2 linked regions of the Tamandua tetradactyla genome follow. The protein of the gene in region 2 binds, or shares a complex with, the protein of the main gene of each other region. Links are inferred from orthologs where the notes say so. Each region holds a gene or a part of one and is shown on either strand. Other genes may lie near its edges.

Region 1 (15,535 bases), on a different chromosome or scaffold from region 2:
ATTTATTAAGCCAAACCATTTCAAGCAACTTCAAGTTCGTATGTTCATAATGAGGTATGGAAGACCAACAGGATGGGACAGAATGTACTCCAAATTAGAAGGGGGCAGCATGGCTCCTTGGTGTCTGCTGCAAGCAACCTGTGCTCCACTGTATAATTGGGCTTTGTTCCCACAAATCTGAATGTCTTCTTTTAGATCCTCTAGCTGTGGCTAGTTTAGCTCCCGATTCTAAAGGTGTGCTGTTTTGTTGTTTAGGAGGTTGATCAAAGCCTCTAGGTCCCTCTTTGGTAGGCCTCCATTATTTATGTGTGAGCCTCAGGAGAGCTGACCAATCTGAAGGTTGGGGACACTACTGAAAGAAGTAGCTTCCATTCCACCTTAATTCTACTGCAGAAGGAGTTTTCATCAGGGGATGTTGAGTCCTAGAAAATCAGAGCCAAGGTTTCCTAGGGGGCTTCCTCTGAGACTTTATCCCCAAGAGGGAACCATCTGGCCACTTCCTTTTTAATCACATTTCTAAGAGCTGTTCCATTTCCTCAAGGACTGTTGTAAAATCATTTACTTGACTGTTATATATAGTTTGCTGTTCGAGGAACCGTATCCTTTCTTCATCTTTCATCTTCAACTTTACTTTTAAGGCCTGCATGGAAAGACATTCAAAAAGGTAAAAAACAACAAGTCCTCTTTTCTCACAGAAAAGACACTAAACACACCAGAACATTACGTATCTATCCCAGTGAGGAAGAGTAATAGTAATAAACAAGGCATTTTCCATCTTAGATTTGTTTATCTATGTTCTTTTTGGGACCTGTCCCTCTACACTATAGACTCCTACATCTAACCTGGAGCAATGAAATCTAGCAGGGTTCAACACAATAGCCAATGATTCCTAAACAGTCCAAAGCAGCCCAGACCCAAGTTTCTGGGTTTCTGAATATAGGACCTTCCTCTTTGAGAAACATACTATCACAATTCCCCAGCATAGCTTTTATTTAGGACCCAAATCTCAACTTTGAACAACCCAGTGTGTTACACAATGCTTCATGCATTGTGAACATCTCTAAGGAGTCCTCCAGAACAGAAAAAGGAAATTAGTTGAAAAACTGTAATTTAGTTCAAATAAAGTCTGTAATTTAGTTAATAGTAAACTAGCTTCAGTATTGGTTTCTCAGTTTTGACAAAGTACCTGTTAATATAAGATGCTAACACAGGGGAATTGAATTTTCTGCACTATCTTTGCAACTCTTCTGTACATCTAAAATTATTCCAAATTAAAGTTTCTATTAAAAATGAACAGAGTCCTCTACAAATTTACATATTATGATAGGAAACAGTAATTATGTCTCTGAGGGACATGTCTGCTTTCACCTGTAACTCCTCCATCTGCTTTTTGGCTGTTTCATTAAAAAGCTTCAGCTCATCTTGTAAAGTTTCCAACAGCAACTAAGGGGAAGAAAGTACAAGGTAGCAACAAATCTCTACTGGGACATGAAAATGTTTACCTAACCTCTTCATATAAAATGGGAGTTGAATTCGATGATCCCTAAAGTCCCTTTCATTCATTCAATACTTTGTCTACCCCACCTACCAGGCACTGTATCCTGCCTCCTTGAGGAACTCAGTAGACAGGACTAGCCAGGTTATTGCACTATAATGTGTTCTGTGCTACACAGACAATATGATCAAAATACAGTCACCACGGAAGCCTGGGAGAGCTGGGGAAGGCTTCCAGACCTAGTATTACGATTCTAAGACAACAACTAATCACTCTGGATGCAGAGATCAAAAAGGCTCAAGACTTTAAGCCCAAGCAATTATCTTCCTACTTTAGGGAAGGAATAAAAAAGAAGCCAAAGAACCCAAATTTAACTTCCCCCTGGACCTTTGCATCATATACTTCTAGACAAGGGAATAAAGGGAGAAATTTGGTGATGTACAGAATAGAGACACTAGAAAGCTCTCTATTCAGGTCCATCTCATTATATATACACTTTCAACTCAGACTCAAAGCCACCTTCCAAGTAAAACAGGCTATTTTAAGAGTTCACATCCTACTGCTCTCTTCTATCATGGGTAACCAAAGGCCGCTTCTTGGGGTTTATTAAGCACAGACTAGAGACTGCATCAGATTTTTCAGAGCCCCATGGTCACTTGTCCACCCATTCACACCCATGCCCTCACCATAGAATCCTTGTGATCTGTAGTGTATTCCTGCTGCGATGCCAGTGTTTCGCTGCCTAAAACTGATGATAAAAGAAAATCAGCTTCATTTAGGGAACTGCACCTTTAACAAAAGAAAACGAAAACCCCTCCAGGGACAAATACAGGAGTATATATTAAAGAAACTTCTCTAAACATCTGATCCCTGACTCTCTCCCCTGAGTCTACACCTTGACAGGGTCTCTCACACCTGCCCTCTAGAGCTACAATCTATCTCCTTCCTGTCTAGGTTTGGATATAGACAAAAATTCTTTCTGCTTTCTCCTTATCTTAGTGAAAAAGGCTGGAATTTTTCCGCAGGAAAGGTACAGGCTGGATCTTTTGTTTTGCTTACAATACAAATATTTCCTGGTAACTATAACCACAACAAGCATATTTGTTAACTATAAAGAATATATACTTTTCCAGACTCTGTACTTCCCTACCACCCCCAAAATATATATATATATATTTTACTAAAATGTGATCTAAAGATCATTAGTATTACTCAAAATCAGCATTTCTTAATTCAAAGACGCATGTGCCCTTTCCTTGGGCCTTCCTAGGCTTGTTAATCCGAGCCCTGTCTTAGACTCTGGGCAAGTCTTTTTTTCCACCTGCTTCTTCACTACAGACCCTGTTCTCCAGGGACAGGACTGGAAGAGGGACCACATTTTAACCACAGTGATTCTGATGAATAACCAGACTTAGGAAACCCTGAAAGGGAATTATGTCTCTCTTTTGATCTGGGAAAGACAACAGGACACACTCTCCCTTAAAAACAACAAAATGTTTCCTGGTATATTTGCAAAGTCATGCTTGGCATCAAATGAACGGTACAAAGTATTAACATAAGGAAGAAACAAGACTCTCTCTCCACAACCATCTGGAGCTATCAGGTAAAATCAATATCACATGAAGGTGAAAACAGCTGAACAAAAAGAAATTCTAAAATCTTTAGGGCTTAGTTAAGCCACATTAGCACTGACGGGGCCAGTTAATGCCACAGGGGACTCCGGATGGACTAGAGTTGACCTGGGAAGGAGCACAGTGCACTGATTCCTTTGAAGGCAGTTGTGTGTGGTCTCTCACCTGGGTTGATGCCCTTACTCTCCAAAATTGCCAAACAGTTGTCCTGAAACTTCTCCAGCAGTTCTACCTTCTGGGTCAGATCCTTCAGCTCTCCCTGTTGGGACGTCATGCAGACAGATCAGGTCTCACTCTTGGACAGCCACAGCACACGCCTAGCATCTTCTATTTCTGCCCTTGGGGACCTGGGCATTATAAGCTTGCTCCCACCCAAGGGGCCATTCCTGCAGATTCCACATTCACCTCCCTCATGGCAGCTGACGGCAGAGGTCTGGTGGGTCTCTTACCTGAGTTTCAGTCAACTTTAGGTGCAACTGCTTATTGACGGCCTCTAAGAGCTGGTTTTTATCCTTGAGTTCTTCCTCTGATTTCTGCTTACTCCATGGTTTATAGCTGTAATAAATGTACTTATGTGAAGAGGTAGCAGGATTAATAGTATAGACCCTGGAGTCACACAAACAGGGGCTTGAATCCTGGCTTCATCATATAGCAGCACTTCTGTTTATGGGCCATAGCTGGCTTCGATTTCCCATCAGCAGTAGTCCAATAAGCTCCTGTCTGATACTCAAAATGGCAGGCACCATTATAGACTCTTTTTGTGACAGTGATTCTCAAATCTGCTGAGCCTCATCTCTGAAAATTCCTTTCAGGCTTCTGGGGTGGTACCCAAACCATAACACAAACATGTGCCATGAATGAGAGACCTGTTTTCTTAAACACTGTCTAGTTTCATTTACCCTGAAGCTCACCTTTTTTTAATGTTCTTCCTGATGGCAGCGTCTGCAGCTTTCGTCTGCCTAAAAAGCAAAACCAAAGAAAGTGATTACAGCACTTGCTGTGCTGCGAACAAGGCAGAACAAAAAGTCTGACTTTCTATGAGAGGATCAGAGATTACATTCCCTGCAAATAGCACACGTTTGCAAAGCTCTGAAGGCCCATGCCCTTTTGTTTTACCAGACTATCAAAAATAGCTTATCAAAAGGGAATGGGGGGCGGGCCGCGGTGGCTCAGCGGGCAAAGTGCTTGCCTGCTATGCCGGAGGACCTCGGTTCGATTCCCGGCCCCAGCCCATGTAACAAAAACGGAGAAACAGAATACAATAAAACAAGAAAATGTTTAAAAATGAAAAAAAAAAAAAAAGGGAATGGGCTCCTCTTCCCTGACCATCCCAACAACCTGATCAATCTGCTCCTGCTCAAGATGCCATCTCATGTTGACTTTACAGAGAGAACTGAAAGCACCACATGACACTAGGGCTCAATGCTGTACTGCTTTGGGCCACTGACCACAGGCCAACTGTTCAGGTGCCTCGTGCATCTAAAACCTATTTTCTAATTCTTGGTACCAATCAATTTTTTTTTGGGGGGGGGGGTCATGGGTAGGCTCTGGGAATCGAACCCAGGTCTCCAGCATGGCAGGCGAGCATTCTGCCACTGAGCCACTGTTGCACTGCCCCCAATCAATTTTTAACCAGATATTTTAACTGTATACTAATGATCTGACTCTCACCCATTCTCTCGTCTCTGTTTGATGATTTTTGTACCATCGTTCTCTGAACTTCCTGAAGGAAGAAGTTTGGAAATGTCTACATCTTTGGACTTAACAGGTAACAGACTCTTAGAAACGGCTTGAGTTTGAATGTCTGCAAAGGAAAATAAGAGGGTGGAACTCCAAGAGGCATGACTTAACAATGGCAACCCTATAACAAACATATCTTTATTCCAAGTTGTTATCACCATTCTGACCAATCTCAATTTCAAATCTCAGAGATTCAAATCTGACCAATCTCAACAAATAAAGATGTCTTTATTTCCCCAGCAGCTAGCAGAATATCTGGCATTTTGTCAGATGTTCAATACCTGTTTGCTGAATAAAACTTCCCAGCTTCACGGGTTGTTTCACAGATCTTCATTTCTAAACTCTAGGTTTCTCTTCTGTCTTCCATGGTGACTGGCTCTACCTCAGGTCCTTTTTATCTGCATATCCTCCATAAAGTTTAGAGGTTGCCCAGCTGGCATTCTATTCCGATCTTGTTGCTAGACTGTGGCCCTGCCATGCCACTTTCCTCCCCGCAAAGAGAACATTTCTCCCCTAGCTCAAGTGCCAATCCTCCCCCATAAATGGTCTACCATTTGTCTTCCATGATAAATTCCAGTTGCTTATTCTGGAGTTAAGCACTCCTCCCCTCCCCACCATCTGCCCCCTACCCCAGCCCCCTTACACACAATACATAGCACAGAGGCTTTCCTAGCTTAAACTTTTCACTTTGTTCACTCTACAATGACTCCCTGAAGCTTGACCTGTTAAGAACCATAACAATTAAATCAAATCAGTTGAAGAAATAAGGCACAAAGCCCTGGAAGGGATTGGGATGAATATGACTTTTCAGGTTAACAGATTATTCCATTCAGAGGTACACTTACTGGGCACCTTTGCTCTCTATTTAGATACTCTTACCCACAAAATAAATATTAAGAGGATTATTTTTGAGGGGTCTGTGGTAAAAGGTAATCTCCATGCTCGAGTATTAATGTTATATATGGTAACAAATCTATCCCATGTAAAAAGGCGCTAACAGTAAATGGTTAAAATTAACACCGTCTATTGAACGGAATCGGTTTTTAAAAACCCATATTTCATAGAACCTAAGGAATGCACAGTAGAAAAAAATTAGCAGGACTAAAGACTGTGTCCTTAAAATGTAAGAAACTAAGAGGGGAACTGGATGGCTGGTGTCCAGGAAGGGAAAGCATAAGGCTTCGTAACTTTTATTTTTAATTTTTAACAACGTGTGTATATGAAAAGCTATAAAAACCAAACCAACCCATGCTTGACACTGAAACAAACAAAAAACTGGCAGACAGCTTAAAATTTTAAACTATTGAGGTTATGTCTGATCATACAACCCAAAAGGGAAAAAAGCAAAGAGATGAAAACTTCCACCTTGGCTGAGGAGAGCCAGTTACTAGCTGCTGAAGCAGGCACAGGGTTTTCCAGAGGAAAGACAGCAGATTTGCATATAGAGACCTGCTTCTGTTCCTCCAGGAACCCCTTAGGCCTTGCTGATGCTGCTATTACCGTGGAGGGGTTCTGATGCAAGATGAGACAAACAGACCAACCCTTTTAAGCCTTTGGAGAAAAACCTATTTACTTCACAGCCCAATTCTATTACTGCTCATCAACCAGACGCACGGGGTCATCTGGGAAAGGATCATAAATAGCTGCATCACAATCTACCACAACAGTTTTCTGGTGTCTGAAATTTATTCTGTGCTACAGTCTCTAGATTAGGCAGCTGGACAGCTGCAGCTCTTATGCAATGACTTTCAACCACCCGCAACGTAAGAAAGCAAACGGCAAAGCAATAAAAAATTATATTTTTAATCGTATCTTTCTTCTCCTAATCATATCTCTTTCTTCTCAAAATACTTTGGCTAAGCCTGACCTCCCCTAGCTCGCTCAACAAACACTTACTGAGAGCGTACTATATGGGAGACACTGTACAGATACGTGAACAAGACATGATGCAAACAACCTAATGTTCTCCCCCTAAGTATCCCACTTACCAAATGACCCCCCTACCTTCTCCCTGGTAACAAACCCATATCCTCAAAACAGCCCCAAGCCTGGAAATAAAACCAATAACTGGTTATCCCCTATTTTAGAGGGATAACTGTAGAATAACCAGCAGCTTGAATCTAATTGGTGGAACGCAGCACAATGAGGTGTGAGGAACGGCAGGGCAGGTCTAAAGAGCCCTCTCTTGGTCTTTCCCCTAACTCCCTAGACATAAACTAGACAGACTGGCTCAAGGGACGCTAACACGCTGCGAGGGCCCACGGAACGCCCTCATTTGCCCCGCGCCCCGCATTCCCCGCCACCAATCTGATTCCCGCCCCATCCGCACTGCCGGCTCCACCCACCTGAAGGTAGGCCGCCCCCCAGCACAGAGGGGGCCTGAAGAGTGCATACTGTCTTCACTATGCTGGTCATTCTTACAAGGCGAAACGGCTGGACTCTGGAAGGGGCAAGGTTAAAGTGACGCTGCGCTTGGCCAGCAGGCGGAGAACCCCCGAAAGGCGGGATCCGACCTGCTCAGCCTCCACGGAAGGGTCGGAAAAGGGAATATTTTCCATTTCCAGGCCACCCCGTCTGCCCTCCACATTGAGTCCAGTTCCCAGCCCCAGGATAGTCGAACCTAAACGCCGTCTGCTCCCGCCCGGCGTCCGCGCGGGTCTCCTTTAAAAGATGATGCGGAGCAACCGCCACACCGCTTGTCGCGTCTGCCGCCTCGGTTTCAAATGGAAACTTCCGGTGACTGGGTGGGCGGGGGAGTGGGTCACCTTCTGCAGGCAGCCATGTTGTACGGAAGACTTTATCCTGGGCGATGGCTTCAGGAGCAGCCATACTGTACGGCTGGAGGTGGAAACCTGAGGTTCCTAGCGGTGGATTTTGGAGGCTGCAGGTGTGGGCAGGCTGCACTTTGCAGGCCCCAATGGCGTTGATAAGCCACAGGCGTCATATTCAGGGCTTGGGATGCAAAAGTGTACGTTCAGAATCCAGGTTGTCACAATCCTTTTCATTATTTGGTCTGTGTTTGTTAGGGGTGTTGCATGATGCCCAATTGCGGGGACACAGGTTATGTGAACGGGCAGAAAACAACACATTACAGGATGGATTGTCGTGGGTGGGGATTGGAGAAGGCGACCAGTGGGCTGAAATACCTGAGACACCTACTAGCAGTCCGAACTTAATAGTATTTATACAGATTTTAAGCAGAGACTCAAGGCTACTCCCAATGAGCAGAGCAGAGTTTTGAAGCACTAAAAACACCAAAAATTTCATCCAATAAATATTGAACACCTGCTATATGCCAGACACTCTATAAAGTATAGGATGGAGGACAACAAAGATCAAGACTGATCTTGCCTCTGCCTCCTTGAGTTTACAATCTAGTGCAGGAGACAGTAAACAATCACACAAATAAATACATATCTACCAATTTTGGCAAAACTATGAAGGAAAAATAAAAAGTGCTATGAGAGAATAGCAGGAGAAACTAGTTTTAATTGGAGGGCCAGGGAAAACTCTCTGATATTTAATTTCTGGAAGGAGGAACCAGAGGGAAAGAGATGCAAGGCCCAAGGTGAGTATGGGTTTTTTTTTTTTTTCTTGCAGAAACTGAAAGATGGGAAGAGAATGGTAAGGAGAAACCTGGGTCAAAACTTGAAGGCCTTGGAAAAGAGATTAGATTCTATCTTAAAAGTAATGTGAAGCTGTTGAATCATTATAGCAGGAGAGTATCATTTGATTTATATTTTAAGAAGCACACTCTGGCTACTCCCTTGAGAGTGGGTTGGAGGCAGCAAGAGTGACACCTGAGAGGCGTTTGGGAAGTGACTGCAATCACTTGTGAGCGGTGAAGGTGACTGGGTCTTGATGGGGGTGGTCAGTAGTGGAGATGGAGAGAAGCAGACACGTTTAAGATGCTTTCGGAAGTAGGATCTCAGAACTTGCTGATAAGTTGCGTGTAGGGGGTGAAGGAGAAGCTTGAGTAATTGTGTGGATAGAGATCATTTCCTGAGATGGAATCACAGGAGCAGGAGTCTGCAGGTTGTATTGGGAGGAGATGGTTCAGTTTTGAATATGGTAAACTTGAAATACCTTTGAGACCATCAGTTGGAGCTGTCAAATAGGCAATTGTCAATACAGGCATTGAGCCAAGAGGAGAGGATGAATTGGACATATGTTCATGGGAGTCGTTGGTATGTGGATGTATTTAAAGCTGTGTTATTGGGTGAGATCATGTGGAGCCAAGGACAGGGATACCCAGCATTTAGAAGTTGCAGTTGTAAGGTGGGGCCTGCCAAGAAATATGAGAAAGTGAAGAAAATTAAGGAAGTATTGGGCGTTGGATCACGTCTCAGCAAAAGTATTGGCATATTCAAGTCTCAAGCTGTGGTTCTGTGAGTGTGAATCCATTTGTAAATAGGACCTTTGAAGATGTTATTAGTTAAGGTGTACCCCACCTGAATGAGGTGCGCTTTAATCCAATGCAGCTGAAGTCCCTATAAGCAAAGGAAATTGGACACAGAAAGAGAAGCCACAGGAGAAGCAAGAAGCTGGAAGTCAATAGAACCTCTAAGAAAAAGAAGATGCTGCCATGTTTGTTGCTATGTGACAGAAAAGCCAAGGAATCCTAAAGACTGCCAGTCAGCAGAAGATACTGGCTTTGGGAGGAAGCAAGCCTTCTAGCCTCTGAAACCCTGAGCCTGTAAATTCCTGTTGTTAAGCCAACCCATTGTGTGGTATTTGTTTTAGCATCAGGGAAACTCAAACAGATGGTGTCCCAGAAGTCAAGAAGGAAGTAATGGTAAACTGTTGAAAGCATCTGAAAGGGCAAGCAGAATGAGGATTAAAAGAGATCTATTTAATGTAGCAATGTAGAAGTCATGATGATTACAGCAAGGGAAATTCTGGTGGCGGGGTTGGAATGAAAATTACATTGGCATGGGTTGAAGAATAGGTGAGAGGTGAAATAAAATAGGTAGGTGTAGACTCTAGAGGGTGTCTGTGAACAGAGTAGAACAATTGGGCAGTAGCTGGAGGTGGGTTGTGGGTCAAGGAATGGTTTTCTTGAAGATGGAGATATTGTTGGATACCTGTTCTGATGGAAGTGAGCTAACTGAGAGGAAGAAAACTGTGCTTCAGGAGGGAGAGAGGTTGAACAAACAGCAAAGTCTTGGAGAAAGGGGAAAAGGAGATCTAGAGAAGCATCTTCAAACTCTTTTGTACATGTACCCCCCCCAAAATAATTTTAGAAGCAGTGTATGCTCTAACCCTTTTTTTTTATTATTAATTAAAAAAAGAATTAACAAAACAATTAGAAATCATTCCAATCTACATGTACAATCAGTAATTCTTACTAACATCACATAGTTGCATATTCATCATTTCTTAGTACATTTGCATCGATTTAGAAAAAGAAATCAAAAGACAACAGAATAAGAATTAAAACAATATTAGAAAGAAAAAAAAAAACAAAAAAAACAAAAACAAAAAACCTATACCTCACATGCAGCTTCATTCAGTGTCTAACCCTTTTTTATTAGAGAAGTTTTAATGCATAAAATACGCAAAATGCAGTTTCCATAAACCACCCTAATATTAACACCTTGCATTTTTATAATTGTACTATTAACTAGAATCCACCATTTACAGTAGAGGTCACTGTGTTGTACAGTCCTCTGTTTTTTCTTTCTTTCTTTTTATTCCAGTAACATATATATAACCTAAAATTTAAAAAAAAGGAAAAATTAAAAACATACACAATTCAATGCTGTTAATTACACTCCCAATGTTGTGCTACCATAACCACCATCCATTACCAAAATGTTACAAAGTAACTGTACATTTTAAGCATTAACTCCCCATTCCTTATGCCCAACCTGGCCCCTGGTGACCTGTATGCTAGATTCTGACTCTATGAATTTGTTTATTCTAATTATTTAATATCAGTGAGATCGTACAATATCTGTCCTTTTGTCTCTGGCTTATTTCACGCAACTTGATGTCTTCAGCGTTCAGCCAGATTGTTGCATATATCAGAACTTCATTCCATTTTATGACTGAATAATATTCTCTTGTATGTATATGTAACATTTTTAAAAAAAAAAAAACACTTTTATTCACCCACTATACAATCCATCCAAAGTGTACAATCGTTGGTCCTCAGTATAATCTCAGAGAGCTGTGCTTTTGTCACCACAATCAATTTTAGAACATTTTCATTGCTCCTAAAGAGAAAAAAAACAATACCCCTTACACCCTGCTATTGTTGACATTTAACATTAATGTGTACATTTGTTACAATTGATGGAAGAACATTAAAATATGACTGTTAACATAGTCCATAGTTTGCATTAGGTGTATTTTCCCCCATATACCTCCCTATTATTACACCTTGTAATAGTGATATCAATTTGTTCTAGTTCATGGGATAACGTCTTATATTTGTACCATTAATCACCTCTGTCACTATGTTATGCAGTCCCTTGTTTCATTCTCTAGCTTTCCTTCTAGTGATAAAGCCAACCTTAAACTTCCCCTTTCAACCACACTCACATGCACGATTTAACACTGTTAATTACACACATGATAATAAAATATCATTACCACTATCCATTTCCAAACGGTTACAATCAACCTTGTTAAAAAAATTCTGCACAAATTAAGCTCATGTTTCCCGTTCTCTACCCTCCTTCTAACTTCTGGGAACCCATATTCTAGATATTAACTCCATGAGTTTGCTCACTTCATTTAGTTCATTTCAGTGAGCTCATACCATATTTGTCCTTTTGTGTCTGGCATTTTTCACTCAACATAATGTCCTCAAGATTCCTCCATGTTGTTGTACACATCAGGTCTTCATTCCTTCTTACAGCTGAATAATATTCCATTGTTTGTATATAACTTATTTTGTTTATCCATTCATCAGTTGATGGAAACTTGGGTCGCTTCCATCTCTTGGCAATTGTAAATAATCCTGCTATGAACATCAGTGTGCAAATGTGCATTTGCATGAGTAGGTCAGTGGTAGAATTCTTGCTTGCCATGTAGGAGATACAGGTTTGATTTCCAGCCCATGGACACTCCCCCCAACCCCTCTGCAAAGCAACAACAACACACACACATCTATATCTATATCTATCTATATCTATATCTATATCTATATCTATATCTATATCTATACTATATCTATATCTATATGTATGTTTGAGTTCCTGCTTTTAATTATTTTTGGTATATACTTAGAAGTAATAGTATATGGTAATTCTATGTTTAACTTTCTGAGGAACTTTCAAACTGTCCTCCACAGTGACTGTACCATTTTACATTCCCACTAACAATGAGTGAGTGTTCCTATTTCTCTGCATCCTCTCCAGTACTTTTAATTTTTTTTTAGAGTAGCCATTCTATTCAGCATGAAATGGTATTTTGTTTTGATTTGCATTTCCCTAATAGCTAATGATGTTGGGCATTTTTTCTGATGTGCTATTTGGCCATTTAAAAATGTCTTTTATTGTAAAATATAACTATATACAAAGAAAAGAAAGAAAAAGCAATAATTTTCAAAGTACACTTCAACAAATAATTACAGAACAGATTTCAGAGTTTGTTATGACTTACGATTCCACTATTTCAGATTTTTCCTTCTAGCTGCTCCAAAACATTGGAAGCTAGAAGAAATATCAATATAGTGATTCAGCAATCATACTCATTTGTTAAATCCTATTTTCTTTGTTATAACTCCTCCTTTCTCTTTGATCCTTCTCCCAATCTATAGGCATGTTTGGGCAATGCTAGTCTGACGTTTTCATGTTGATAAGGATAGGGGGATGTAATTAGTTGATAATCTTGGAGAGGCTGGTCCCTCTGGGTTTCAGGATTTATTTGGCCTAGGAACCCTCTGGAGGTTAAAAGATTCAGGAAAATAAACTTAGTTCATGAAATTTTTATAAAGTCTCAGTTCAAGCCCTAGGTGTTCTTAAGAATAAACAGGAGTGGTAGCTGAGTTCCAGGCCAAGATGGCAGCTTAACAATGTGCGCATTTTAGTTCATCCTCCAGAACAACTACTAAATAACCAGAAACAGTTCAGAACAGCTCCTGGGGCCATGTCAGTGACTGGACACACAGCATACCCCAGTCTGGACTGGCTGGACCGGCTGCGAGACCCCCCAGAACCATGAGTTACACAAGCCATGGCGGCCAGCACCTCTCCTCCATAGACTGCTTCCCAAAGAGGAAAGGAAAGAGACTTTACCAGCAGCAGGGGCTGAGCCCAACCAAACGCCAATTGTGGAATTAATGAACAAATTCTGACTACTAAAAATAGACCCCCAACTCAGGTAAATCTGGTCAAAGCAGAGGTTGCTCATTTTTGCCCCGGCGCCAAGGGGGCAGGGCTGACGGAAAAAGAAAAAAAACAGAAGGAAACACAGGTTTTTGTGGCTGTGTTTCTAAACAGGCTTGACTACCTTTAGACACAGCTGCAGGGCTTCCCAGGCTGCAACTGCCCCAGGCATAGGCAGAAACAAGCTCATTTGAGGGCTTGTCTGGAGCCTGTGCCTTCCCCAGGGGAGGGGTGAAGCACAACTCAGGTGGAATCCCTCCCTCAAGGAATTCAGACACCAGGGCTTGGCAATTTGAAGCCATTAAAACCATCCTACAACCTCTCCTCTGTCTCCACTACACCCCCAGCAGGGAGAGTCTGCCAAAGTTAAAAGTACCGCATCATCTTATGCTGGTGGGACCTGCAGGCAGACAAGCACCACATACTGGGCAGGATAAGAAAAACAGAGCCCAGAGACTTCACAGGAAAGTCTATCAATCTGCTGGGTCTCACCCTCAGGGAAAACCGATGCAGGTGACTCCTTCCTCCTGATAGGAGACCAGTTTGGTCTGGGAAAGTCTGGCTGGGGTCTATAATACCTAAGTAGACCCTCCTAAGTGTGGGGGGAAAAAGGCACCATACAAGCAGGGCAAGAAACAAGAAAACAAGAACTGAAAAATTCTCCTCTGTTAAACAAAACTTGAGCTAGAGGTCCACATAAAACTGAACTGAATGTCAAAGAACAGATAGACAAAAAATACATACAGCAAGAAAACCTTAGGTAAAAGAAGTGCAAAAAATCTCCAGAATAAACTAATTAAGGTAATTAAATGCCTAGATGCCAGCAAAAATAACAAATCACACTAGAAAAATTGAAGATATGGCCCAGTCAAAGGAACAAACCAACAATTCAAATGAGATACAAGAGCTGAAACAATTAATTCAGAATATACGAACAGACATGGAAAACCTCATCAAAAACCAAATGAATGAATTGAGGGAGGATATAAAGAAGGCAAGGAATGAACAAAAAGAAGAAATCGAAAGTCTGAAAAAACAAATCACAGAACTTATGGAAATGAAAGGCACGGTAGAAAAGATTAAAAAAACAATGGAAACCTACAATGGTAGATTTCAAGAGACAGAACACAGGATTAATGAACTGGAGGGCGGAACATCTGCAATCTGGCAAGAAAAAGAAAATGTAAGGAAAAAAATGGAAAAATATGAGCAGGGACTCAGGGAATTGAATGACAATATGAAGCACATGAATATACGTGTTGTGGGTGTCCCAGAAGGAGAAGAGAAGGGAAAAGGAGGAGAAAAATTAATGGAGGAAATTATCACTGAAAATTTCCCAACTCTTCTGAAAGACTTAAAATGACAGATCCAAGAAGTGCAGCATACCCCAAAGAGAGTAGATCCAAACAGACATACTCCAAGACATTTACTAATCAGAATGTCAGAGGTCAAAGAGAAAGAGAGAATCTTGAAAGCAGCAAGAAAAAAGCAATCCATCATGTACAAGGGAAACCCAATATAGTCTTATTGGGTAGATCTCTCAGCAGAAACCATGGAGGCAACATGGGATGTTATATTTAAATTATTAAAAGAGAAAAACTGCCAACCAAGAATTCCATATCCAGCAAAATTGTCCTTCAAAAATAAGGGAGAAATTAAAACATTTTCAGACAAAACATCATTGAGAGAATTTTTGACCAAGATACCAGCTCTGCAAGAAACACTAAAGGGAGCACTACAGCCAGATACGAAAAGACAGAAGAGAGAGGTGTGGAGAAGAGTGTAGAAAGGAAGACTATGAATAAAGGTAAAAAGAAGGAAAATTAGGTATGACATATAAAATCCAGAAGGCAAAATGGTTAGAAGAAAGTACTACCTGTGCAGTAATAACACTAAATGTTAATGGATTAAACTCCCCAATCAAAAGACATAGACTGGCAGAATGGATTAAAAAACAAGACCCATCTATATGCTGTCTCTACTCAAAGGAAAAGAGGGAAAGGACACAAATGGACATTTGCACACCAATGTTTATAGCAGCATTATTTACAATTACCAAGAGATGGAAACAGCCAAAATATCCATCAACAGACGGTTGGCTAAACAAACTGAGACATATACATACGATGGAATATTATGCAGCTCTAAGACAGAATGAAGTTATGAAGTATGTAACAACATGGATGGACCTTAAAAGGAAATTATGCTGAGTGAGATTAGCCAAAAACAAAAGGAAAAATACTGTATGGTCCCTGATATGAACTGACATTAGTGAATAAACTTGGAATACTTCGTTGGAAACAGAGACCATCAGGAGATAGAAATAGGGTAAG
Region 2 (16,308 bases):
TGGAAAATGAAGATCTAGAAACTGATTCCATTAAAATTTTCCTTGCCTGCATTCCCCTTGGAAAGTCTTGATACATCCTAGGGGTATAGTGAATATACACAGTTATCAGGGATATTCCAGATCTTTAACTTCTATGCATAGAAGGAATAAGCCTGTGGTTAAGGAGTCCCTTTTACTCTCTGGCAGTTTACATTCTGAGAAAGGGCGGCCAATGGATTTCTCCATGTTTTGAGAGGAACCTTCTTACCCCACTAGGTGAGGTGTCAGTCTGGGTGCTACTGTCCTGAGCCTCTTTGTGAGGGACAGCAACCCGGCTCTTCCAGTCTTGCAGCTGGCGAGAGAGGATCTCCAGAATGACAAGAGATCTCAGCAGGTTATCTTCCAGGTCATGTCGAGATAAGGCAGTTAGATCTGGAGGACGGCTGCAGCAAGAAGAGAGGAACATGAGGAAAAGAAAGGAAGAAGGGATGGGAATGGCAGGTACAGGATACTGGAGCTCAAGAGGGACAACGATATAGGGACACTTACCCCCATAGGAGGCACTCTGTCTCAGAACTACTGTCCTTGTTGCCCTCCAGGCCCATCTGGGACGTGTTTGTACTCTTTTCCTGTAGAGCTGGGGGAGTAAACCAAGTTCCTGCTGAGCAGGTAGAGAAAGGAGTAGTACCAATTGCAGCATCCTGAAGCACAGAGGGGAGGGATAAACTCTGATGGAGATTTTCCAGCATGATTGAGGAATTTACACCTTTTTCCAGCCAGGCCAGTGGGGACATCCAAGGCCCTGTGTCAGGTTTGAGGATCAAACCAGGATCTTTTACTGCTGGGCCTGAAGCTGCCTGGGATTCTATTTCTGTTGGATTTGGTGCCAGGCATGTAGATAAAGTATCTTTCATAGTTGAGACAAGTGCTTGATCTCTCAATTCAGTCTCCACAGGGGCAGGAGGAACACTCATTTCTTTTTCCTCTATAGCTCTGTGCTCTACAATTTCTTCTCCTTGGTCCACCTGATTGACAGGGAAATCTGCTGCCAAGGCAGTTGAAGGGGAAAGCCATAACGTGGAAGATGGCAAGAAGGCATTACTTTCAGAAGTTACTAAGTCCTCACACACGGCCTCAGTTATATTTTCTCTCTGGCTTTCCTTGGAGCAATGTAGCTGTTGCTCAGAACAGGGACTTGGTGGATGGTCCAAGAGATGGGATGAAGGATCCTGAAATATTGGTTTCTCAGGCACAGCAGCAACGACTTCTGAAAAGCTGTCTTTCATACATGGTGCCACCCCTTTTCCCACCAGATCTCCTGGCCTCAATGGCTCATGTAAAGAGATACCATTTGCTTCTCCCATGGCATCCAAATGGGTCATTAGTGAAATGTCTTGCTGCTGTACCACTGGAGAGGGTCCAAGGACCATGGTTTTAACCATGTAGTTGTCCAGGGGATCAACTGTTGCTTCAGGTGTTTTAGGAGTAGAGTTGGTTTGGGGAATCAGATCTAGGGGCTGCTCATCTGAATCACGCTGACATGCTTTCTGCCACTTTGAGGGACAGCTGAATTGTTCTGAAGGGGAGTCTGTCGTGGTGGCACTGATAAAATCCAGTGGAGATGGGTTGCTGCTGCCTTCCTGACAAAGGAAACAAAGCCAGTTGACTACGATCATCAATTCAAGTTCCCAACATATAATTATGAATGCGAGATACTATCCAAACTCCAAAAAGGAAAGAGTTCTCATTACCTCTGCTTAGGCAAGAACTTGGCTAATCCCTGCTGCTAATCACTACAGAGACCGAAGAGCAGAGGAAGAAAACCTAGTAAGCCATTTTAGGTCTTCCAAGGGAACCAGTCTATGGTATAAAAAAGGGCTGGAATAATCTGTTCATAACATGAGGAGATGGCAGCTTCAATGTGTTCCATTTCTTCTCCATTCCTAACTCCAACCTGCTTCTAGGGAACAGGAAGGAGGGGTCTGTAGGCTGTGAGTGAAAGCTCAAGCTCTGTCAGAATCTCAAATTGTCTCAAGACTTTTTTCCCTTCTGAAATAGATGAGAATTTGGGGACCAGAGTCAGAGAGTCCTAGGACAATTATTTTAGAACATGTGGATCCTAGGGAGCACTTTGTTCAAAGAGATCAGTGAACCCCAAGGATAAAGGGCAACATCAACCTATGCCAGTGGCTCAATCTCCTTGACCCACCAGGGGTGACAGCATCCCAAACAATATAGTTTGAATATATTCAACCCTTGAGACTTGAAAAGCTTTAGTCTTTGTAGCAGAGGAGACTGAAGAGCAGAAAGACTTCCTCCTGGTGTCTTGACAAAGGACTGACAACCTCCCTATTGCTGGTTCACAGGGACATTGCACCTTCTACAACTAGCAGGATTACTGCTACTGGCTGGACCTCAAACCCAATAAGCAAGAAAAGGAAAATAGTAACACACTATTGTGAATTATGAATCCAGCAGCCAAGGTTAGAAGGAATGCTAAGATAGTTAGAAAGATAGACCCTAACAAAAAACAGAAAATTCAAATACAGTACACACAAAAAATGACTTTCTGGAAATAAAAAACATCACTGTTAAACTAAAAACTTCAGTATAATGAATTGAAAGAGAGGATGACCAGAGTTGAGACAAGAATTATTGGCCTGGAAGAGCACAAAGAAGAAATAAGTTAAAGACAAAAATACAAACAAATGTAAATCTGAGGAAAAAGTTAAGGGAATTGGGGGATAAATTCAGGAAGTCTAACGTGAATAAAAGAAGTTCCAGGAAAAGAGAACACATGTAGGTGAGGCACTGATAAAACAAATATTAGAAAATTTCCCAAAGGTAAAGAGGCAAGTCTGTACAATAAAATGGCTTACCATGTTTCAAGCAGGATTGACAAGAAAAAAAAAAGTTATACCAGATTGCTATCTAAAATTCATTTTCTCCAGCAATATATGAGGGTTTCCATTTCCCCATATCTCCAGCAGTAGGTGTTAGAGAGCTTTTAAATTTCAGCTAGTCTAATTGATACACAGTGGTATTTCACTGTTACCTTAATTTACATTTTCCTGACTATTAGTGAGTATATCTTTTATATATTTGTTGGTTATTTGGATTTGCTCTTTCGTGATCTGCTAATTTATATTATTTGCTCATCTTTCTGTGGGGTTATTAATCTTCTCAGTCATTTTACAAGTTTTTTTTAATATTATAATTATCTTTCATCATTGCTTTCTAGTTAGTTTATAATTTTCTTTTAGTTGTTTTCTTTAATCCAAGGGTTATCTAGGAATAGTTCTTAATATCCAGGAGTTTAAAGACCTTTTCTGTCAACTTAGACACATAATGGTAACATTTCTGAACTATAAGGAAAAAACTATTTTAGAAGCTTTAGCTAGAAAGACCAATTATTTACAAGGAAAAAAAAATACTTTCATGAAATTTCTCATTTATAGCAGTGGATACTTAAAATATGAGAGAGAGCTAAAGAAGCCAGACAGAATATATATCACATATATGGCATTTAAAAACAGACCAAACCATTTTGAGTTACAAAGGCAGTAAAACTACAAAGAAAAAAAGTATTTACCAAAATAGTCAGAAAAGTGGTTATTTGTGGGGGGAGATGGGGTTGTCATGAGACAGGATTCCGATATTCTGGCAATGTTCTATTTATCGACATGGATGTTGGTTATAGGGGTGTGTGCTTTGTACTAACTGGTCAAGTGGTTATGTTTTATGTATTTTATTTCAATTTTTAAAACTTTTCTTTTTTTAAGTGCTAAAACGAAGTAGAAAATAAAGAGATTGGCAAAGAGATACCTAACATCAAAGAGAGCAGAGGCAGCAATATCAGACAAGGTATAAATTAAGGTTATAGCATTATTATGATAAAAGACATAAAGATATATGATATTAAAAACATAAACTGATATGAACTATACAGTTTAGAAACTAAATATACGAAGCAAAAATACATACACACAAAAAAAATGTAAATAAAATATACTTTTAGAAGTGCCAAAGCACAATTTTAAAAAAGTTTTTGCTGCATCTATCAACTTCTATTTATCTTTAAAAATTACTTTAAAACCCTCTCCTAAAATATGACAGAGCTGGTAGGCTAAAAAAACATGTAAGGACAGAGTAATTAACGATCTATTGGCAAATATAAACAGACTACAGCATCCTTTGAACATTAAATTTACTTGTTTCATAGATCCATGGAACCTTTAGAAGAATTCATCCTGTACTTGGCCACAAAGAAAAGCTGACAGAAAAGGTCTTTAAACTCCTGGAAATTAAGAACTATTCCTAGATAACCCTTGGATTAAAGAAAACAACTAAAAGAAAATTATAAACTAACTAGAAAGCAATGATGAAAGATAATTATAATATTAAAAAAAACTTGTAAAATGATTGAGAAGATTAATAACCCCACAGAAAGATGAGCAAATAATATAAATTAGCAGATCACAAAAGAGCAAATCCAAATAACCAACAAATATATAAAAGATATACTCACTAATAGTCAGGAAAATGTAAATTAAGGTAACAATGAAATATCACTGTGTATCAATTAGACTAGCTGAAATTTAAAAGCTCTCTAACACCTACTGCTGGAGATGTTGTGGGGAAATGGAAACCCTCATATATTGCTGGAGAAAATGAATTTTAGATAGCAATCTGGCATAACTTATTAAAATTAAAAATACACATATACTTTAACCCAACAATTCTATTCCTGAGAATCTATTTCATAGAAACAAAAGCATCAGTACCAAAATTTATATTTTGACTAGTGCAGTTCCTAATATAACTTATGTGGACAGCTTCACTGAACACCATAAGTACATGGTAGGGCATAAGATTTTGTAGGTTTGTCCAGAGTGATGCCCTTATAAATCCCAGCGTGATTTGAACAATGAGTAAAAAAGTATTTGCAAAGTCTCCTTAGGGGAATGGTGAAAAAGGGGGAAAATTCAACTTCCCGCAGCGCAGAATTCTTGATATTCTCACAAGCAGTGGGGACAACCAAGGCAATAGGCTGGGTCCCCAATCTTGGGGTTTGTTCATATGAAACTTAACCCCACAAAGGTTAGGTCAACCCTACTTAAAATTAGGCCTAAGAGTAACCTCCAAGAAAACCTCTTTCGTTGCTCAGTTGTGGCCTCTCCCTCCAGCCAACACAACAAGCAAACTCACCACCCTCCCCCTGTGTATGTGGGACATAACTCCCAGGGGTGTAGACCTTCCTGGCAACATGGGACAGAAATCCTAGAATTAGCTGGGACTCAGCATCAAGGGATTGGGAAAACCTTCTTGACCAAAAGGGGAAAGAGCAAAATGAGACAAAATAAAGTGTCAATGGCTGAGAGATTCCAAACAGAGTCACGTTATCCTGGAGGTTATTCTCACGCATTAAATAGATATCACCTTGTTAGTCAAGATGTAAGGGAGAGGCTGGAGGGAACTGCCTGAAAATGTAGAGCTGTGTTCCAGTAGCCATGTTTCTTGAAGATGATTGTATAATGATATAGCTTTCCCAATGTGACTGTGATTGTGAAAACCTTGTGTCTGATGCTTCTTTTATCTATCTTATCAACAGACAAGTAAAACATACAGCATAAAGATAAATAATAGGGGGAACAAATGTTAAAATAAATTTAGTAGATTGAAATGCTAGTGATCAATGAAAGGGAGTGGTAAGGGATATGGCATGTATGAATTTTTTTCTGTCTTTTTATTTCTTTTTCTGAATTGATGCAAATATTCTAAGAAATGATCATGATGAGAAATATGCAACTATGTGATGATATTGTGAATTACTGATTATATATGTAGAATGGAATGATCATATGTTAAGAATGTCTGTTTGTTGTTACATTTAAAAAAAAATTAAAAATTAATAATAAAAATAAAGCATCAGTACCTAATACATGTACAAAGATATTTACGCCAGGATTGTTTGTAGAAAAAAAAACACAGAAAAATAAATATCCATTAATGAATAAATTGTGATTTATACATACCATGGTACGCTATGAATTAGTTCTACAAAGTTGACTTACAGTGACTTCCACCCACATTGTTAAATGAAAAAAGCAAAGAGCAAAAAAAGTATATAATATGATTCTATCATGAAAATAACTATGTATGTTTGCATATTATTAAAAGAACAGAGAAAAATACAGAAGGATACACAGCAGGTTGTTAAATGGCTTGGGAAAAGCAAGGCATGTTTTGGAAGTACTGACTCCACAGGACCAGCAAAAGAAAGGAAAAGTAGAGCTAAGCAGAAGGAAAAAAGGGAGGAGGGAAGGGAAGGAAGAAGGGAGAAAAATATTGCATTTTGGGGAAAAAAAGTGCCTTGATTAAAAAAAAGTGTTATAATACATGGATGTGCATTTATGTAAATACATACAAAAACAGACACACACAGAGATAAATGAAAAGATTTTCAAATATATCAATGAGGTATCTAAATCAGTGGGAAAGTATTTTCTTATTTTTAATATTGTTCATGTTTCAAACAATGAACATGCATTATTACAAATAATCAAAATTTATAAAATAAAAATAATAGTTATTTTGTAGGGGAAAAATCCCTTTTTGTTAGTATAGTTGACTATATTATGAGATGGTGAAGGTGAATGGGCAAACTCTCTAGTTAGGAGGGGCAGGAGACACAAATTCTAGTCTTTTCTATTACTGTGATTAAAGGGCTATGGTTACATTCTATAATCTCTATGGACATCAGTTCCCACTTAGTATTTCTTATTTTCTTTCTTAAGCTGTACTATCCAATATGCGTGCCACTAACCACATGTGGATATTTAAATTCAAATGTAATAAAAAATTCAGTTTTCCAGTTCCACTATCCACATTTCAAGTGACTAGCAGCTATCAAGCTGGACAGCATAGATTGTCAAACATTTCCATCATCACAGAAAGTTCTATTGGATGATAAGTGTTGGAACTCTTTCAAGAAAAACTGCTATCCTCAAACTTGTTACTCAGGGTATTATCTGTTTTTATATATTCTTCTACTCTTAAACCTATTTATATCCCATCTCCTTCCAAAAATAATTCAGACTGCATGAAAAAGATATGAAGTCTTAGACAAAAAAGAAAGAAGAAGCAAATCTTCCAATTTCAGGAAGTAAGTGTAGCTATACCTGGTCATCAAGTATGATCCCGAGCTTCTTAGAAGCCAGAGGATGAGGAAAAATATGAGAAACTACATGGGTCTCATTATCAGTAGAAAAAGACAAGAACAGGAAGACCATTTTTCCAGGTGATAAGTTCTAAAAGAAATTTCTGTGAGGAACCTTACAGACCGGGGTCAACTTCTTAATCTGACAGTTTCTATACCGCTGCCTCTCTCAAAATCTTTGACAAACGCAGAATTTAGCGGTCACAGCTCCAAGAGACTAAACTAAGGTGGTCCATATTAAGAGTGATATACCCAGCCTCCCATGACCCCAGTAAAGTTTGGACTACCTCATGGAGTGGATGGATATTGACTCACAGCTGTAACAGATCGACCTCTCCCTTACTGAGCCAATGTAAGAAGGAGCCAACCGATCAGTGATAGTATTTCTCAGCAGTTTAATACAGGCTGAGTGGATGATAAAAACTAACAGCTAAATAGAGGTTTGGGCTCTCAGTGGATTTCCTTTAACCAACCTCGGGTACCTCTCTGTTGGCCTGAATAACTGTAAATGGATGTTACTGAGGTAAAAGACTTCATTATCGTTATTAATTACGTTCCAGCCCTGGCCCTCTGTTCCTTTGAGCTCTGGACCTGGGCAAAGTGCCCAGTAGAAAAGCCGGGCGACTCTCACCTGCAGCCCCAGCTTGCACAGTGATGGGGTCAGCGAGGAGCATATAGCGGGCCCTTTTCCAGAATTTGTGTGGGCATCAGGCTGCAGGATAAGTTCTCGGAGGGGCGTTCTCATAGCTGGTTTTCCCTGGGAAAGAGAAGAGAGCGAGAGTGAAGAATCCAGCCCTGGGCTGGCCGTTCTCCTTCCCTTAGAGGCCCCTGAGACGATGAGAAAAATAGGTTCGGGCTTCAGTAGCGCTGAAGAGGCCAGACGGAACAAGGTTCCTTACGGACCCCGGCCCAGCCTCCACCCAGCTTTCCAAGACACTCGGCACTGCCAGCGCCCCCGCCCCAGATCCCTTTCTCCGCGAGGCTCTCCCGCTTACCCGCTGGGGTGAAGGCGACAGGCTGAGGCTCAGTTTTTTCGCTCGCCACATCTTTGGGGTAGAGGGCAAGTCGACTACCTGCTAGACCCGAGGGGAGCCGCCATCTTCACCCGCCGTCTTTATTTGAACTTGCCCCACGCTTCCCGATTGGCTGCCGAGGTGCGTCAGGCCGCCGCGTCTGTTCCGGACTCGCGCCGGCGGGCGACGGGTGGGCGGGGCCGGGGGGGGGTCGCACGCCTCCCGCGCCTGCCACGGGGTTCGCTCACTCTCCTCGAGCGACCGCGAGGCGCAGGCGTTGGCAGGCAGGACGCGACAGGCTCGCTGCAGGTCCTGAGCTTTCAGGTGAGGGAGGGCGCCGCAGGTATCTGGAGAGTCAGGATGTCCATCCCTCCTGCTTCCTTCCAATGGACCACCTTCACACCTTGTCAGGAAGGTTGCCTCGAGGCCTGGTCTTGGGAAGGCTCTCCTCAGGTACCGCTTCAGACCTGACAGGAAATGAGCCGGCCGGGGAGTCAGGAAGGCCGAGGTGAGTGGAAGAGTGCGTTTCACTTAGATCTGGAGGTCTTGCACGTGGGTCCCATATCCGCGATGGCCTGAGACGCAGTTCCCAACCAGTCTGCAGCCCCCGGGCGGCGGTAATGCCTCTTCAGGATTTCTGGTCTTTTCTTGGGACTTAAGGCCTGAGACAAGTTTACTGAAACATGTATTGAACATTTCTTATTTGCCTGGCGCTGTTCCAAAGTGCTTTATTAGCTCATTTAGTCCTCTTAAGGGCCTGTGAAGTACTATAAATATCCCCGTTTATAGATGAAAGAACTGAGTCATAGAGAGACAATGTAATTTGCACGAAGTCCCTCAGATAGTAAATGGCAGAACCAAGATTCCAACCCACACAATCCACTACTACGTTCTCCTGCCACTTAAATCCTGTGTGTAGGGGAGATTTATCCGTTGAAGGTGGAATCAACTTTTCGAAAACAGCATAAAGGCAGGTTTATGATAGAGTGTATGTTCCTTTGAACACTCACAGCACCTTATTTACATTCTAGAAATCTTAACGAGTTTGGAAAAGGCAAGGAGGAGGAACAATTATGAACTGCAGGGCTTTTAGGGGATGGGCTTCTCTAGAACTATGTTGTCCAATACGTAGCCACTACCATATGTGGCTATTAAGCACTTCACAAGTGGCTAGTCCAAATTGAGATGTGCTATAGGTATAAAATAAATACTGGTCTCATTTTAAAATATTGATTACGTGTTGGAACGATTTTTTTTTTTTAATGTTGGGTTAAATAAAATAGATTAAATTAGTTTCACGTTTCTTTGGTTTTTTTTTTTTTTTTTTTTTGCATGGTCAGGCACCGGGAATCGATTCCTGGTCTCCGCACGGCAGGGGAAAATTCTGCCTGCTCAGCCACCGTGGCCACCCTCACGTTTCTTTTTGCTTTTTTAATGTGGCTATTAGCAAATTTATAATTACTTATATGGCTTTCATTTTGTTTCTACTGGACAGCACTGCTCTAGAAACATAACAGTCTTAGTTGCTTGAATGGGAAGTTTGGAAAAGACAATATAAGAAGACTAAGTTGAGCCTGGGATTGCCCAAGGCTCAATTCCAAGGCACACTTCTAGTTAATATTGATGCAGCAAATAAGACAAGGGTGGGAAGTGGCAGAAAAACCAAGACAGAAAATTCTTAAGTGCCAGGAGAAATTTAAATTTAAAAAGGTGTGAATTGGAATGCTATTCCTTGTTGCAGCCAGTGTGTCAGATGTCAGCTGTAGCCAAAGTGATGTAGTACTTCCAGCAGTAAATCAGGAGGAATATGTATGGAGTAGATGAAAAAGAAAATGCCATTGGGAATAATAGATAATATAAACAGAATTAGTTTGTTGAAGTTATTTTGCATAATATTTTTTTGATTTGTTGGTTTTTATTTTATTAAAAAAATAGATTATAGCAAGTAAAATAATATAATGCAAAGATGTATTAAAGAAAAAGCCTCTCCTGTCCATTTTACCCTCCTCTACACAAACATACACAAATTTACACCAACATACACACGCACATATACAGGGGGCTTCTTGTGAGTCTGTTGAAGGAGAATCAAACTATACACTTGACTCTGTAAATTGCTTTTAACAATTAATCCTAGATATTCCTATGTCAGTAAATGTAGCTCTAGTGCTTTATAATTTCTTTTTGCACAATCACACATACAGAATTTTAATTGATGAGTCTTTGGGATTGAGGCCTAGTGTAAACCTTTATTATATTTTTCCTCTTATTTTCCCACTTGCATTACTTCTGTCTCCCAAATTCTTGTTCTCTTTCTCTCTTAATACTTTTTCATGAATGTACTAGCGCATGCACATGCATACATACATTGAGTCCTTTATAAAAATGAAGTAATTTTTTGTTTGCATTTTCTTCTCACTCAAGGTTTTGTAGAAAGCCTTCTAAGTCAACTGATATTTGCATTGACTTCTCACTTCATATACCTTTTCCCTTTTTAAAAATAGATTATTTCATTTTCCTTTCCCATTTGTAAGAGTTCTGTTAAAGACAGTAGCTCTTTATCATCATATTACGAATATATTTTTGTCTATTGTTTGTCTGTTGATTTTATTAATGGTATCTTTGACCATAGAAAGATTTTACATTTTTATGTGGTTAAATATGTCTTTAATTACAGTTTTTTTATTCTCTGTCTTGATTTAGGTATCTCATTCATCCCTTGATTGTAGTTCTAGTCCCCCAGTTGTTCTAAGATATTTTTTTAAATTTATTTTATTTATTAAATGTACCAACATACAAACACAAACATTCTTACCAGATGATCATTCCATTCTACATATATAATCAGTAATTTACAATATCATCACATAGTTATATATTCATCATCATGATCATTTTCTAAGATTGTTTTAATGTATCACATTTAAGGCTTTAATCTATCTGGAGTTAACTTTTGCATGTGATATGAGATAGGTGTTCAATTTAAGTTACAGATTTTTAATTTTTGAATTAGAGATTTCTTATTTTGTTGAACAAATCAGCTACCTTGAGGAATACCTACCAGGCAGTTCTGAGTGAATTCAAGGATGAAATTGTGGAATTATTAGCCCTGCTGCTGAATACGATGGAGAACTGAACAAAGGAAGCAGTGTGCCACTGCTAGTCACTGGGACCCCATAAACAACAAATTCATGATGAGGCCAGTGAAATCTGAAATGATGAGTATGTTCTCAGAATAAAACAAAATTGACCTAGGGAAAAAGGTAGTATGCTTTTCTGTAAATTAAAAAATCATTCCTGATTAATACATTAGAACTCTTCACAGAGGTTAATAATGCATTTTCATAAAAGTGAACCAGTGAATGTGATTTTATTTAATTAAAAAAAATGCTTGACAGGATTCTACATTGAAGACTCCTTAAAGAAGTAACAAAGGAATTGAGAGTACCAGTTTGTTAAATCAGTGAACAAACAAACAAATGAACAGATCAATATATGATAAAGGAACTTAGGTTAGTGATTTGAAACAATGAGTAGCACTCCACAAATACTTTTCTAGAAGAATATATAAGATTGGTTGTTAGGACTAATCTTAAATTCTTATAAAAGAGAGGAATATAGAGTGAGATATCCGTGTTTATAAGTGTATTTCCTGTCTTCCCTAGGTAATGAAAAGCAAAGCATAGGAATAAACTTAGGTGATTAGAAAAGTTGTATATATAAGGTGTTTTTTTTTTAAGTGAATATCATATGAATAATTAAAGGGTGTAACATTTGTAGGTTAGTTATTCTGAATGAGGTGGGAGGTGGGGAAGAGAAAATGTCCTCTAGGGATGAGCATATCAGAGTTCGGGAAGGAGGATGGGGCAGTGATACTTTCTGAAACTTTTGATTCTCTATCAACCTCTCCACTCTACCCTGCAAAACACTGCTGTAGTGAACAGCTAATTAAAGAGAAGGTTGGAAATGTGATCATTTGAGAAGAAATGATTTAAATTACACTTATATGATCTTGGTCTCTAAGTTATCTAATATGGCTTAGGAAAAGGACTCTAGTGACATTATGCTAACCATTTCCTAAAGACTAACCCATTATGCTACTGTAAGCAGAAAGGCCAGTATATTGCTGGGCAACCTGAACATTAACAGTAGGCCAGACACATAGTATTGCATAGCATCAGATCTCTGCATCTGCCCTTTGAGAAAATGTTACACAAATCTGAAACTCATTCCCCACAATTCAGAACCACAGATTGTAACCCCTTCATTTTATACACCAGGAAACTAAGATCTAGAGTGGTTAAAATGACTTGTCTAAAAACACTGAGTTAGTATTTGGTGGATCCGGGCACCAGGTCTGAATTTCAACATAATGTTTTTACTTTGGAAATCATTCCTATTTTTAGTATTCAGGGTTTTTTTTTCAATGTACAGTTCTGCTCACTACTACTTTTTTTTTAATGTAATAATGCTAGAAAAGGGTCCAAAGAGAAACAAATGAGATAATCAAAAGGATTAAGGATACATTCTTTTATTTATTTATATCCCAACCTTATTCCAAAAAAGCTTACAAAGACGCAAGTAATATAGTAAGATCAAAAGATTAAAACTTAGAAAAAGGTTAAGGAAAAGGTAGAAAAGGAAGATGGAGCCAAGAATGTGGCTAACACACAAAATGCACAACATGAAGTCCTAAACACTAGCTGGAGGTGGGCCACAAATTAGGTTCTACGTGGTCTAGCATCTTGTACAAAGAGAAAAATACAATAAATTGAATAATTTCAGGGTATTTAAGGTGAAAACCAAATAGCAATTCTGGAAAAGCACAACTATCACCAGAAAAAATTTCTCCCATGCATCCTCAGATAGAACACTATGAATTTTAATGATAACTGTCCTTTACATTATGCACAGCAATTAAGTTTCATAGGGACTTTCTTTAAGACAACCTTCAATGAATACAGGAGGCACCATGCCAAAGTGCAATTCAGAAAAAGCAATTTTTCAGAGGCCAATAAAATGCCAACTATGTACAGGGAAAATATGGCCTAATCCAAGGATGGAATTAATAAATAAAAATATACAAGGTGCTCTCCAGACTCTTTTAGATCTGAAGATATCAGATACAACTAAAGGATAATATGGTCTAGATTAAAGCATATTTTTCCTCAGATCTAAGAACAAAAATGTAACTTTTAAAAAGTTAGTTTAAGGAAAATGAAAAGTCATAAAGGCCAGAAATGTATACAAATTCAAGGTCCAAATGATTTTCCTTACTAAAGGAAAATGTACTTTTGGCATGTCTCTAACTTTAAATCTTAAGGTTAGTGTCATGCCTTTTCATAAAACATCTCTTGGTAAATTATCAGTTTAAGAACTGTCTTTCAAGAAGATTTTGTTTAGGAAAAAATGTGGATAGCTTTTCCAGTTACCCCTAGAGAAGACATTTAACTCAGCGCTGCTTCAGTTCCTTTCTTCTTCCTTACATCAGGGTCTTAGGTTCACTTTTTAATTTATTTTAAATTAGTTTTTTTACAAACTAGCCTTAAATCTCTACAGAATATTCTTTAGCTGCATATTAAGGACTGAAAGCCAACTTTTGAGACCTTTGGAAAACATCTGTGCTGCTTCTGACAAGTCTATTAAACACATTAATAGCAATTTAGGAATCCATGAAGTATCATTATTGCTCAAGGAAGGAAACATGGCAGAAAAACAGAGGAAAAAGGAGAAGAAGCCTCTGGGTGCAAGCTTCAGGGTATGAGCACTAGAGAAGTAAATAAAGCAAAAGGAAAAAGTCACTTTCCCTGATCTGAAATGTTGAACTGAAAAGTGGAATCTATAATGGGGAAGGGGTAGGGCCAGTTGTGGCTACCAGTAACAGAATGCCCAAGATTTTAACTCTGGACCAAAGCCTAGATGAACAGAACGGTAAGGGGCTACAAAATAACAACAAACAGGATCATCGAGGTGGTGGTACTGAGTTGGCAGTGGAGAAAGTTCTCAGGTTCCCAGCTGGGCCCCCATCTATAGTAGAGAGGCTCGAACAGGGCTGGGGTAGATCAGAAAGGACTTCAGGTCACAGTCAAAATCCTTAAAATGCATGGACTCCGATAGACTGGGCTGGTTAGCTTGCGCCTCCATGACAAAGTTCACCGGCTGCTTCTGTAGGAGTTCTGGGTCAAAGGCCATACCCCGAAAGAAAGGGTGGACCTGAAAGTGATGCAAATATCGTAGACGGCGGAGAGGGTTCTGGCATAAGAGCTGAAGAGAAATAGAGCATGAGGATGAAGGACTGTGATATCATGGGGCTGAACAGAGAAGATGGAAAAGAAAGGAGAAAGAAGCCCAAGGAACTATGGAAGGCAGGAAGAAGAACCCTAAAGAATAGACTGTAAAAGAAGGAGAAACAGGCTATCTGGGGGCAAAGGAGGGAATAAAGGAACTGTATTTGTGAGTTTTCAGACAGTGAGAAAGCATCATTGGCCCATTCTCTTGGAAGGGACTTGGCCTGCTCTATAGGAGGAGGAGATTTGAGAGAAACAGGCAGAATTCACAGAACTAAGAACTCAGGAATGAAATTTGAAGTACTGGTTAGAAAACAAGTAGTGAGGTGGGACTTAATCAAATTGGAGTCCCCTTCAAGAAAAAACTAATCGGGGATGGGGAAATACCACTTAAATGACAAGGAAAGGAGAAAGTGAATGGTTTGGTAATCAAGAAAGACAGTCAAAGGTAGTGCTGATCCTTACCTCTTGGAGCAGGAGTGAAAGCCCCTCGTTAAGAAAGGCTGGTATCTCATAGACACAGTGGGTCACACTTGCCATCATAGCCACATGATCTCTCTCTGCAGACACTGGGAACTGAGTTAAGGGGTGAGGAGGTTTCATTCCTTAGTAGGAATAAGGCAAAATTTCCTAAAGGTCTTTCCTTTGTCCTCCTCAGGGCAAAGTTTTCTGTCTTTTCTGCCCAATACCATTATCATTCTCTTACCTTTCCAGTTGCCAAAGAGAAAAGCACGATACCCAGGGACCACCAATCAGCAGCATGGTTGTAAGGCCCTCCACTCAGGACTTCTGGAGCTACAGATTTGAAAGATACTTGTCACTAACACCCTCTGGCTCTCTTTACAGTGCTTACCCACCAGCTTTAGCCTCTTTCTTACCCATATATTGAAGAGTTCCACAAATAGTATAGGCTCGGGCTCCCTGCGACAGGTGGCGGGACAGACCAAAGTCTGTCAGTTTCAGATGGCCTATAAAAGAAGCAGCAAACATCACCATGCTGTTCCACCTCTCATCAGCCATTACTTATTTCCAAACCCAGGTAACTTTATCCTGGGGCTTGGGAAGGAAAAGGACTTACCTCGTTCATCCAGAAGGATATTCTCCATCTGAAAAATCACAGGTGAGAAGTTATTCATCCTCTTTCAACCCTTTTTCATCATGTATACGTCTAGCTGAAGAAGGTGCCCTACTCAGCATTCAAATTTATACTTGGTAGGACCCTTTCCCAAATCCTTAGCACCTACAGAGCCCCAAGGTCAACTTGATTTCCACCCTTTCTTGGCCCTGCTGGAACCTCTTCCTGAGCCCCCTCCTCGGACAAAGGGGAAAAGCACCTAGCTCTACCTTCACATCTCGATGAATGATGCCCAAGTCATGCAGATAGCCTGTGGATGACAGTAAGCATAGGGTGTGCTAAAGCTCTCCTGTCCTTTCTAATTTCCCTGGTAGCCCCCCATCCCACCCCTATCCCTATTCTTTGATCCACCGAATTAGCATCAGTTCTTTTCCCTCTGCCCACCACCTGATTTTTCCCTCCATATTTCCGGTACCACTCCTATTTCACTTACACAGCACCAGGACCAGCTCAGCAGCAAGAAGGCGGATGGAAGCCATATCAAAGCATCCAGCAGTGGACCAGAGGGAGTATAGATCTGAGCTGCAGTAGCTGCACACTGCAAAGCACCAGAAGTCTAGGCAGTGTTCGGAACCTACTGTGCCTGGGCTCAAGGCATTATAGGTCCCCTGCCCAAACTGGTGCCACCTACTAATCTCTCTCCCTCTGGGATAGAGGTGATAAGAGAAAGGGAAC

Evidence for each region.
Region 1: SPAG5 (region 2) and KNSTRN share a complex: the UniProt entries of both Homo sapiens proteins name them as parts of the astrin (SPAG5)-kinastrin (SKAP) complex. The link is inferred for Tamandua tetradactyla from reciprocal best matches to the Homo sapiens genes SPAG5 and KNSTRN.

What each region holds. Positions count from the first base shown.
Region 1 is NC_135340.1:53,611,319-53,626,853, reverse strand, and holds KNSTRN (small kinetochore-associated protein), read right to left. Parts: upstream 7,815-15,535; 5' UTR 7,696-7,814; coding exon 7,487-7,695; intron 7,307-7,486; coding exon 7,212-7,306; intron 4,931-7,211; coding exon 4,798-4,930; intron 4,086-4,797; coding exon 4,038-4,085; intron 3,682-4,037; coding exon 3,576-3,681; intron 3,386-3,575; coding exon 3,292-3,385; intron 2,244-3,291; coding exon 2,182-2,243; intron 1,444-2,181; coding exon 1,369-1,443; intron 641-1,368; coding exon 509-640; 3' UTR 30-508; downstream 1-29. UniProt on the Homo sapiens protein: Essential component of the mitotic spindle required for faithful chromosome segregation and progression into anaphase.
Region 2 is NC_135332.1:51,821,891-51,838,198, forward strand, and holds the start of SPAG5 (sperm-associated antigen 5), read right to left. Parts: upstream 8,372-16,308; 5' UTR 8,245-8,371; coding exon 8,194-8,244; intron 7,956-8,193; coding exon 7,830-7,955; intron 1,620-7,829; coding exon 529-1,619; intron 423-528; coding exon 248-422; intron 1-247. Other genes in the region: RSKR (ribosomal protein S6 kinase-related protein), read right to left, coding at 14,239-14,475, 14,964-15,074, 15,205-15,293, 15,377-15,466, 15,577-15,604, 15,843-15,883, 16,067-16,171. UniProt on the Homo sapiens protein: Essential component of the mitotic spindle required for normal chromosome segregation and progression into anaphase. Required for chromosome alignment, normal timing of sister chromatid segregation, and maintenance of spindle pole architecture.